Linked DNA regions of Mus musculus. The protein of the gene in region 2 interacts with the protein of the main gene of each other region in a pairwise test. Links are inferred from orthologs where the notes say so. Each region holds a gene or a part of one and is shown on either strand. Other genes may lie near its edges.

Region 1 (4,900 bases), on a different chromosome or scaffold from region 2:
ACAGGCGTGGTAACTACAGTCTGGAACATGGTTTCCAACATCTTCAAGTGAAAGCAAATCTTTAAAACCTCAGCAATTTCTAAATGACTGTAAAAACTTTGTTTAGAGTTCCATGCAGACATTATAGTTAGGTGGGAGATAGTTTAACAATAATCGGAAAAGACAATCAATTTAGGTTCAGTGGGTCAAGAGAGAAATATAAAAAGAGAGACAGTTATAACTTCATATTTATTAAACTTATTTGAAAAACAAGATTTTACTTGAAGTCTCTCTGCTTTAATGGAGAAAGGAATGGCTCGGAGTAAGGTAGATTACTATCCCCAAGAACCTCACTTTAGCATCTCTAGCTGCTTCACAAGTTTCCAATCTTCCTCGCTTCTCTTTATTAATGACAGCACACAGTTGTTCAAAATAAAGTTAGACCCAAACTGGACTGTGCAGACAGGCATGAAATACACTCAGGATCATCAAACAATGGCACACAGCAAAAACTGCTCTTGTTGTTTATATACAGAATTTCCAAAAGCAAAGTCAATCTAATTGGCCATTAATGTACACATAGGAATGGAGATTAGTTTACAATTACACCCATATTCATATGAAATGAAGTACAAAGATAAATTTTAAATAAATGTTATCTGTGAAAAATCCATAAAATGTGACCAATATAAAGCTCAACTTGAGTGCTTGTTCAATATTTGGTGCTTTAAAAATATTCATATATAAGCTGGTGGACGATATAAAAGGTGAGAGAGGTAAGGAGCCAGTGTCCAGTGAGGGTTACTGTGTAGTGGGAGCGAGCCAAGGGAAGGAGTTCACGCAGGGCTCACACAACATAAATAATCAGAAGTGAATGGCAGCCAATTTACCCAAGGTCAAAGTTCCACGAAAATGAACAGACGTAATGAATACTGAAGTGAATGTCATTCAAAACCATATAGCACCAAGGAACTTTCCAGAGAGGATAAACAAAGGCAACTTTTGATAATGTACTCATACTATTAGCATCCTGTTCTCTTGGCTTCCTCCTTTCAAGACACACATCTTAGCAAATGACCTTAGTTCCTCCCCGTGATGCTGAGTGCTATGTATTTTATAATGACATCACACAACGCCAGTGGAAATCTGTCTACATTAAGTAGCCATTGGATATTAACAACTATTCCTTGAAGGCAGCAGGTGCCGGACTCCAAATCTTGCATCCCAACCCCCACTTTCTCTATGCTCTGAATTCTGCAAGGTATTGGGACCCTCTCCCTCGGCCCAGTGCAAGATGCCTTTGGCTGGGCATCCTGGACATGTTTCCCACATGGCACGTGCAGTGGAGACTCAAGCCAGCGGCTAGTTGACACAGGGACAACAGAAGCAGCAGATGGTCCTGCAGGGGTTCTTCTTCTTGTACTGCACCGCCTTGCGCACCTGCGCCTTGGCCTCGCCCGTGTAATCGAGGGTCTTCTGCACGTTAAGCTCGATGACGTTCAGCGTGTCCTCCTGCTTCTCCACTAGCACGGCCATCTGTAGGAAGAGCTCGTGCACATCGCGAATGCGACCCTCCAGGCGCAGGAGCTCGCGGTGGCGGCTCTCGATCTCGTTGAGCGCAGCCCGCGCGCCCTTCAAGTCGGCCAGCAGGTTCTCGGAGAATACATCCCACTTGCCCTGCTCGAACATGTCCTCAATCTGCTCGCCCGACATGTCCTTGCCCATGATCTCCAGCTGCCGCTGGATGCGGATCTTGCAGTTGTCGCGCTGTTTCATCTCGGCCTGGTTGTACTCGTACATGGCTTGCTGGAAAGCGCGGGCCAGCGCGCTGTACTGCGCGTGTGAGATGCGAGCCACCGCCGAGTGCGCGCCGTGCCGGGCCTCGGCCTGCTCGCTCAGCTCCTTCATGGAGCGCAGCTTCTGGTGGATGCCTTCGCCTCGGGTCTTGATGGCCTTGGCGATGGAGTTGGTGTCGCGCTTAATGCTGCTGAGGCGCCGCATGGACGTGAGGAAGCGGACGTTCTGCCTCCCCAGGCGCCTCACGTCTATCAGAAGCAGCTGGTTTTCATCCTGGATGTCCTGGATGACCCTGTACAAGGACTCCAGGATGTGGTCGGTCTCGAACACTATGTCCTCCCGAGGAGCGTCAAAGTCATTGTCCCCATCTGGGAATTGCTGGTCATAGCTCCTGGACAATTCTTGAAGCTCTGCAAGCCGATCCTTCATTTTGCCTACAAAAGAAACAGCAGTTAGGATCCTTTAATGATGGTCAGATCTGTGCATTCAGAGGGGTTGAAGCTCAATGTAAGGAGCTTGCTCTTAATTCCTTTTCCGTGTGGGCATTAAAGCGGCAAAATGCCCTGTGACATTTTATTTAGAAGTAAAGAAATACCGTGACTCAGACCCTTAGTTATGTTTCACAGCCTCTACACGTCTGCAGTTCAATATCACGGGCACCCCCAATTCAATCAGCAATTTAAACTTTTAGATTGCTTTGGGAAACAATTTCTTTTGTTTGCTTTTTGTTTCTCCACCATGAAATTAGGCACACAGACACAAGGAAAAAAACTCAAAAAGGTTTGTAAACTTTTCAATAAAGGCAGCTTACAAGACTTTGAAAAAGACATTAAATGCTCTGTATTTTGTGGCCAATTGTCACTAGTAAATATATTCTCTTGTACTTAGTACAACTTTTAGCCTATGTGGTGGCCAAACCTTTAATCTCAGTACTACAGAGGCACAGGCAGGTGGCTATCAGTAAGTTGGAGGCTAGCCTGGTCTACACAATGAGTTCTTACAGGCCTGGGGCTAGGGCTAGGGCACTTAAGATGAGGTTCTGCTCTTGCTGAGGATCTGTTTAGTTCTGAGCACTCATGTGTGCCGCACTAACCAGCCAGTCTAACCAAATCAGGGAGTGTTAGCTTCAGCGAGCACTCACAACTGCCTGTGACTCCAGGTGATCCAATACCTTCTTCTGGGCATCATGGTCACCTGCACTCACGTGCACATACCCAAAGACAGACAGACAGACAGACAGACAGACAGACAGACAGACACACACACACACACACACACACACACACACACACACACACGAAACTAACAAAAGATGAAAGGAAAAACCCCTTTATCAAGAGCTGAGCATGGTGGTATGTGCCTTTGGTCCAAAGGCAAAGACTGGCAGATTTTTGTAAACTTGAGGCAAGCCTGGTTTACATAGTAAGTTCCATACTAGCCAGGGATGCTGTGTCAAAGTAAATAAGCAAATAAACGAACAAAGGAATAAAGCAAATGCTGTAAGGCTGCTGAGGAGATGGCTCGCAGAACCCTGATCCCTAAGCACCTGTTATTATAAGCCAGATGTGGCAGGGTACACGGGTGATCCCAGCCCTGGGGTTACACAGACAGGAGGTCAGCCAGTCTCACAAAACCAGGGAGCTCTAGCTTCAGCAATAGACTCTGTCTCAAAAAAAAAAAAAAAAAGGTGGAGAGTGACTGAGGAAGACATGTATACACTCATATATATATATGTGTGTGTGTGTGTGTGTGTGTATACATATACATATACACATACACATACACATACACATACACATACACATACACATACACATACACATACATATACATATACTCATATATACTCATATACTCCCACACAGGCACACAGGCACAGGAACACACAGGCACACGAACAAATGCTTTGAAGCAAAATAACAACAAAATAAAGGCAACTGTAGTACGGTGTTACAAACCAAAACTTGGACACTGAAGTCCGTTGCAAAGGTGCGTAGCTGTGGTTTGAGCTGCTGGGGACGCTGAGGCAGGATGAGCAGCTGGACCCTGGGAGTTCTAGTACATCGGCAGAGATCCAGGAATGACGTCAATGCACAAAAAGCTACAACGGTCACAGCGTCTAGAAGGCCATCTAATGACATGAAGATCCCGCATGCTCTCTCAGGTAGGAAAGAGAGCTACAGAGAAAGAATTGCAGCAGCCCCACATGATTGTCTGAATCAGATGTGAGCAAGATGCATCAAAATGTTGAATAACGATTTTCCTAGAGTTATTGGATAACAGGCAACCGTTGCTAATACTTGCTTTTGCTATGTGTTTCCATAATTCTGTGAGATCTGTACAGATTTTGTAATTAATGTTATCATCTATGTATGACTACGAGGATGACATTCTGTTTGCCAAGGAAGTACACTTGGGTGGCTGCCACCTTCATCTGCTTAAGTTAGTGTTCAGTGGATTCTGTTCTCCCAGATTAATGAAATGGATGCATTTTGATGAACACAGCAAGAATGAAAGGTAGATGTTTTCCTTGCATCTTGCTCAAAGCCTTGCAAAGCACTTTGATTGGAAGGTAATTGGCAAATGGAAAGGATTGACGTACCAGGCTTCTAGGACTCTGCCTGTAGACCGGTTCTACGCTCTCTACTGCTTCCCCAGAGCTGTAAAGGAGCTGTGTGTGAAGACACCTCATTCTCCGCGCGAAGAGCAAAGCAGCGTCCAAAGCACCTAGGAGGAGCTACCAGAAAACATTTAAGGAGTCATTTGTTTCTGGGATCTAACACCCTGACACCATAGGTCCTCCTCCATCAGTAAAGACCTAAGATCATTTGAAGGCACAAGTCTCTCCTCTGTACAGAGATGAGAAGGGCAGAGGAAATGTTCAGACCTTCGGGCAGGTGTTTCAAGGGAACTTTCCCAGTACCTTACTGACAGCACAGGCCTGGGTGGGTAAGTTCCACCCATTAACGTTCTCCCACCCGTTAGCAGCAGAAAAACTACAATAAGAGGGTGTGTGTCACCCAAGGTGCTTCCATTCTGATGATGCCTCCCAAAATGTTAGAACGATACATCTTTGCTGAGGACACATCAAAATGCAGAGGAGGGCACGGAAGAGCAACAGAAT
Region 2 (4,900 bases):
GTAGTTTCTGAGCTACAGTGTAGAAGACAGATCTCTTGGGCCTACTGGGCAACCAGTCTAGCCTAATCAGCTATCCCCAGGTCCCAGTCAAATCCTGTTTCAAAAACAAGGTCATCAGCTCCCAAGAGTCACTTCCATGATGCAGGGTTCACTCATATACAAAAAGCAAATGATCACAACAACAAAACACCACACAAATGTCAGTGACTGTCTCCTGATTTTCTCTCTTTTCCCTACGTCGTATTTCATAGCTCTTGTCTTCCTTTGTTTAACATGTATTTTGTGTGCATGTGCGTGGCATGATGTGTGTAGAGAACAGAGGAAAACTCTCAAGAGTTGGTCCTCAGCTCTTCAGAACACTTGTTCTTGCAGAAAACCCAAGTTTGGTTTCTGGCATTCATATGGCAGGCTATAGCTGTCTGTAACTCCATTTGCAAGGGATCAAATGCCATCTTCTGATGTCATTAGACACCAGGCACACTTGTGCACAGACATACGTGCAGTCAGCACTCAAACATTAAAAGTAAAATAAACCTAAAACAAACAACCTTGGCTCTCACTGGGTATGCTCTGTGTACTCTCTGGAGCTCTATATAATATACCCTTAGTCCACTTCCATAGCAACTGATCTGTTGCTATGGTAATAATTCAACTACTTTGGTTTATTAGACTCTTTCCCAACTGCCTTGCCAGCTATGTGCGGTATTTCAAAAGTCAGCCCGGTGTATTGGCACATGACTTTAATCCCAGCACTCAGGAAGTACCCAGCCAAGACTCCATGGTCAGGACCTCAGGATGTGGCAGGAATGGCTCAACCCACCTATCACCCAAGTGAGGACACAGAGACCTCTTATTAGTTATGAAAGCTTGGCCTTAGCTGCCTTGTTCCGAACTCGCTGATACAACATAATTGCTTTATACTAGTCTACATTCAACCACGGGGCTCGTTACTGCTCTTCAGTAACAGCACGTGTTTCTTCCTCTGTGTCTGGCTGTTGAGTCCCCTCACATCTGATTTCTTTCCCAGAGTTCCTATCTCTGCCCAGAAGTCCCGCCTATCCTTTCCAGCCCTGCTATGGGCCACTCAGCTTTTGATTAAACCAATCAGAAGGTGATGGAGAAGAAGTTTCCACAACACTGAGACAGGTGATGCTTCATTAAAAAAAAAAACCAATGCCGACTGTACTCAGCTCTCTGCTGGAACAAAGATTAACATGTGAATAGTACACAGGCAGCCTTTACATGGAACACACGGGATTAACCCAACATCAGAAGCTCAGCCTTCAGCACTGTGGTGCGTGTTTGGAAAGTGGAGGCGCGAGAACAAGGAACTCCCAAGTCATCCTCGACTACCTAAGCCAGTAACTTAAATGTGTTGGTTGATCAGAGTCCGAATGCCACTGCCCAGCCTTAGAGCCTTCCAGGTTGGCTTTCCGTTTCCTTTCTGGCTCCTTAGTGCCCAACACTCTAACAGCATTACTTTCCAGGACGTGGAGCATGCTCTTGCTCCCAGACTGCCCATCCAGAGCCTCCTCAGCCTCTGTACTCATCCAAGTGCCTGAGGTGCACACTGCCTCCACCATGGTTTTAGTTTCAGCACATGATGCAGTTCCACTGTGCAAGCAACATAGTGGGAAGTCAGGACCCACAGTGCCTACCTACTGTGGGCACATCAACTCTTCTGCCCCGGTTTGAACTGGGTATAGCAACAGTACCTATTCCTTGAGGTCATCTGGACAGACCAGGTTACATGTGTGTAGTATAGAATGGATCCTTCTTGGTCATTGAGGGGGGACATGTCATCCATTCACTGAGGGGACATGTCATCCAGTCTTTACTGGCCTTATCATCTCTCGCTTCGTGTGCTGTATTTTCTATCAAGATTCCAAGTCTCTGGGGACAAAAGGATAGTCCCTCTGCAGGTGTCCCTCCTGCTCCCTGGGTGTGCTGTACGTGGAATGGGGAACTGACTCACAAGCCCCTGCGGCTGGGATTATCTTGTAGGGCCGGGATTGCCACAGGATGGATCAGATGAGGAGGATGAGGAGTGGCCTACCCTGGAGAAGGCAGCCAAAATGGCCGGGGTGGACCACCAGGCAGAGGTGATCGTGGACCCTGAAGATGAGCGTGCCATTGAAATGTTCATGAACAAGAATCCTCCCGTGAGGTAAGGCTTAAAGGTTGGACCAGTGGGTCCTGGTAGAAAGTTCATCCAGACCACAGCTGTTGGTCTGACCATTGCCAAGAGTGGCCCCTGAACGGGAGTGACCCGGATTCCCCTTTGCCCATCTGATCTGGAACCTCTGGATTACCGGTTCCTTGTGATAGCTGGGGATCCGTTTAGTAGTGTTTATTCTTGGTACGTTACTCTCATAGCTTAGTCTTATTTTTTTTTAAGATTAATTTATTTATGTATGTGAGTACACTGTAGCTGTACAAATGGTTATGAGCCATCATATGGTTGTTGGGAATTGAATTTTAGGACTTCTACTCATTCTGGCCAACCCCACTCGCTCTGGCCCAAAGATTTATTTACTATACATAAGTACACTGTAGCTGGCTTCAGACGCACCAGAAGAGGGCACCAAATCTCATTACGGGTGGGTGTGAGCCACCATGTGGCTGCTGGGATTTGAACCCAGCATCTTCGGAAGAGCAGTCAGTGCTCTTACCTGCTGAGCCATCTCGCCAGCCCATAGCTTAGTCTTTAACTCAGGGTTTTCCATCTCAGTTACAGTGTTGGGGCCAATAGCAGCTATCTCTGACAAAATGTTCCCAGAGGGGTTAAAACTACCTCTGGGTAGAACCACAAACGTACCCCCATGTGTTATAAATGCTACTTCTAAACATGCAGTTATTTAGGCTGCCTGTGGTCAGATTCTTGGTTCCATTCAGATGGATCTGGCCTCATTGAGAGGACTGGGCTTAGGGCAAAGGGGCTCAACCAGTTTATTCTTCAGAGTGGGGTGTAGTACACCACTATCATTAATAGTACGGTGATGAGCAGCTTGGGTTCAGAGAACACAGGAGAACCCTGTCCCCTGAAGGTGTCTGACAGCTCTGAGAATGGTCATGGGGTGTGATGTGCCCCCCAAAGGCTCTCGGGCAGCACCTCATACCCAGTGGCTCTTGATCTGACAAACTTAGCAGAATGTTTTCTGCAGTTGCTATACGGAAGTGACAACATGGTGGAAAGGGGGACCGTGGGCACTCTTGAGCAGTGGCTGCTGGCATCTTCAGAAACCAGGCTAAGGGTCTTTGGGAACACAGCAATCAGGCCTTGTCACTTAAGGCACATTGAAGACGCTGCGAAGCACCCAAACTAGAAGTCGAAAGACTAAAATTTACCCTTTCCCTGAGAAAGTCTTAGGGCTTAGGAGAGTTGTTGGTTGGCCCTGAGTCTCGATTCCCCGGCCTGGGCAGTGCGGGGGAATAAAAGCACCTGCCACCAGTGTCATGCAGACCACAGGACACAAGTCTGGAAAGTGTCAGATTCAGTGCTGCTCGGCACAGAAAAAGACTGCAGAGAAACTTTTTCCCCTTGTGCTGGAAGCCAGAACCCAGGTCTCATCCTTGCTAGGCAAGTGCTGGGTGAGTAGGATAGGCTGGCCTTGAACTCACAAAACTCTGCCTGCCGCTGCCTTCTGAGCGCTGGGATGAAAGGTGTGCACCAGCGCTGCCTGGCACAGAGCTCCACTCTGCACTCAGAAGTTGCTCCCCGTTGTGTGAGCAGTGGGAGGTGAGCTTGAAGTAAACAGCCCTCAGGACCTGCTGGCTCTGGCTGAGAGTCGGGCCTGCTGCAGTCTTAGATTTTACCCTTCAGCTGACTGTCCAGGGGGGTCCTTTTACTTCCCCAGTTTACAGATGAGGAAACTGAGGCTTAGAGGAGTCAAGTGACGGGCCCAGGATCATACAAGGACCAGAAGAGCCGGAGCTGACTTCAGGGCCTAAGGGCCTAACGTCCCCACCACTCTGGCTCTGCGTCAGATGCAGAGACATCCAGGGCCCGTGCTCTGCAGCACTTTGAGGCGGCTAAATGGACATAGAGGGGAACTGAGGCTGTGCATCCCAGCGGGATCGAGATTTGTCAGCGTCCAGGGGAATTATACATTGCTCGCTTCCAGCTTCCCGTACACTAAAATTAGAACAGTGACAGGGACGTGGCCCCCATGCAAGGAGGACATGCAAGTTTGTGAAGCATTCTTGTTTTGTTTGGGGATGTTTTGTGACTTTCTTTTTCCCCTCTGAGACGGGGCTTGCTGTCTGGCCTAGATCTCCCTATGAAGACCATGCTGACCTTTCAACTCACAAAGATCTGCCTGCCTCCCAAGTGTTGGGATTAAAGGCTTACACCACCACTACTGCCTTTCTTTTTTAATAAACAGAGCCAGGCATACCATTAATCCCAGCACAAAGGAGGCAGAAACAAGTGGATCTCTGAGTCTGAGGTCAGCCTTGTCTACAGAGCCAGTTCTAAGACAGGCAAAGCTAGACATAAAACCCCTGTGTCAAATAACAACAACAAAGATAAAAAACAGGTTGAGGGGACGTTACAGTTTCATGGAAAGTGACCCCAATTCTTTCCACCTCTCTTTTTCCCGTGTCTCCATAGGCGCACCCTGGCTGATATCATCATGGAGAAGTTGACGGAGAAGCAGACAGAGGTGGAGACTGTCATGTCAGAGGTATCGGGCTTCCCTATGCCTCAGCTGGATCCCCGGGTCCTGGAAGTTTACCGAGGAGTCCGGGAGGTAAGAGCTAAGTGGTGTGTGTGCTGGGATATCCTGACTCGGGGTGGGCTCTCATCCATGGCCCCCACCAAATAAGCCATGGCGATCAGAACAGGATTGGGGGAGAGCTGATAGGCTCAGGTTCTTGCACTGTCTCTTATTGACCCTGG

What was found.
Region 1: the proteins of Bysl (region 2) and Stx11 interact in binary tests that used the Homo sapiens proteins (3 or more experiments, as listed by UniProt). The two-hybrid records come from large-scale screens. The link is inferred for Mus musculus from reciprocal best matches to the Homo sapiens genes BYSL and STX11.

What each region holds. Positions count from the first base shown.
Region 1 is NC_000076.6:12,939,774-12,944,673, forward strand, and holds the end of Stx11 (syntaxin-11), read right to left. Parts: intron 4,514-4,900; 5' UTR 4,379-4,513; intron 3,954-4,378; exon of another isoform or gene 3,735-3,953; intron 2,211-3,734; 5' UTR 2,206-2,210; coding exon 1,342-2,205; 3' UTR 210-1,341; downstream 1-209. UniProt on the Homo sapiens protein: SNARE that acts to regulate protein transport between late endosomes and the trans-Golgi network.
Region 2 is NC_000083.6:47,604,106-47,609,005, reverse strand, and holds part of Bysl (bystin), read left to right. Parts: intron 1-2,004; coding exon 2,005-2,167; intron 2,168-4,612; coding exon 4,613-4,751; intron 4,752-4,900. UniProt on the Homo sapiens protein: Required for processing of 20S pre-rRNA precursor and biogenesis of 40S ribosomal subunits. May be required for trophinin-dependent regulation of cell adhesion during implantation of human embryos.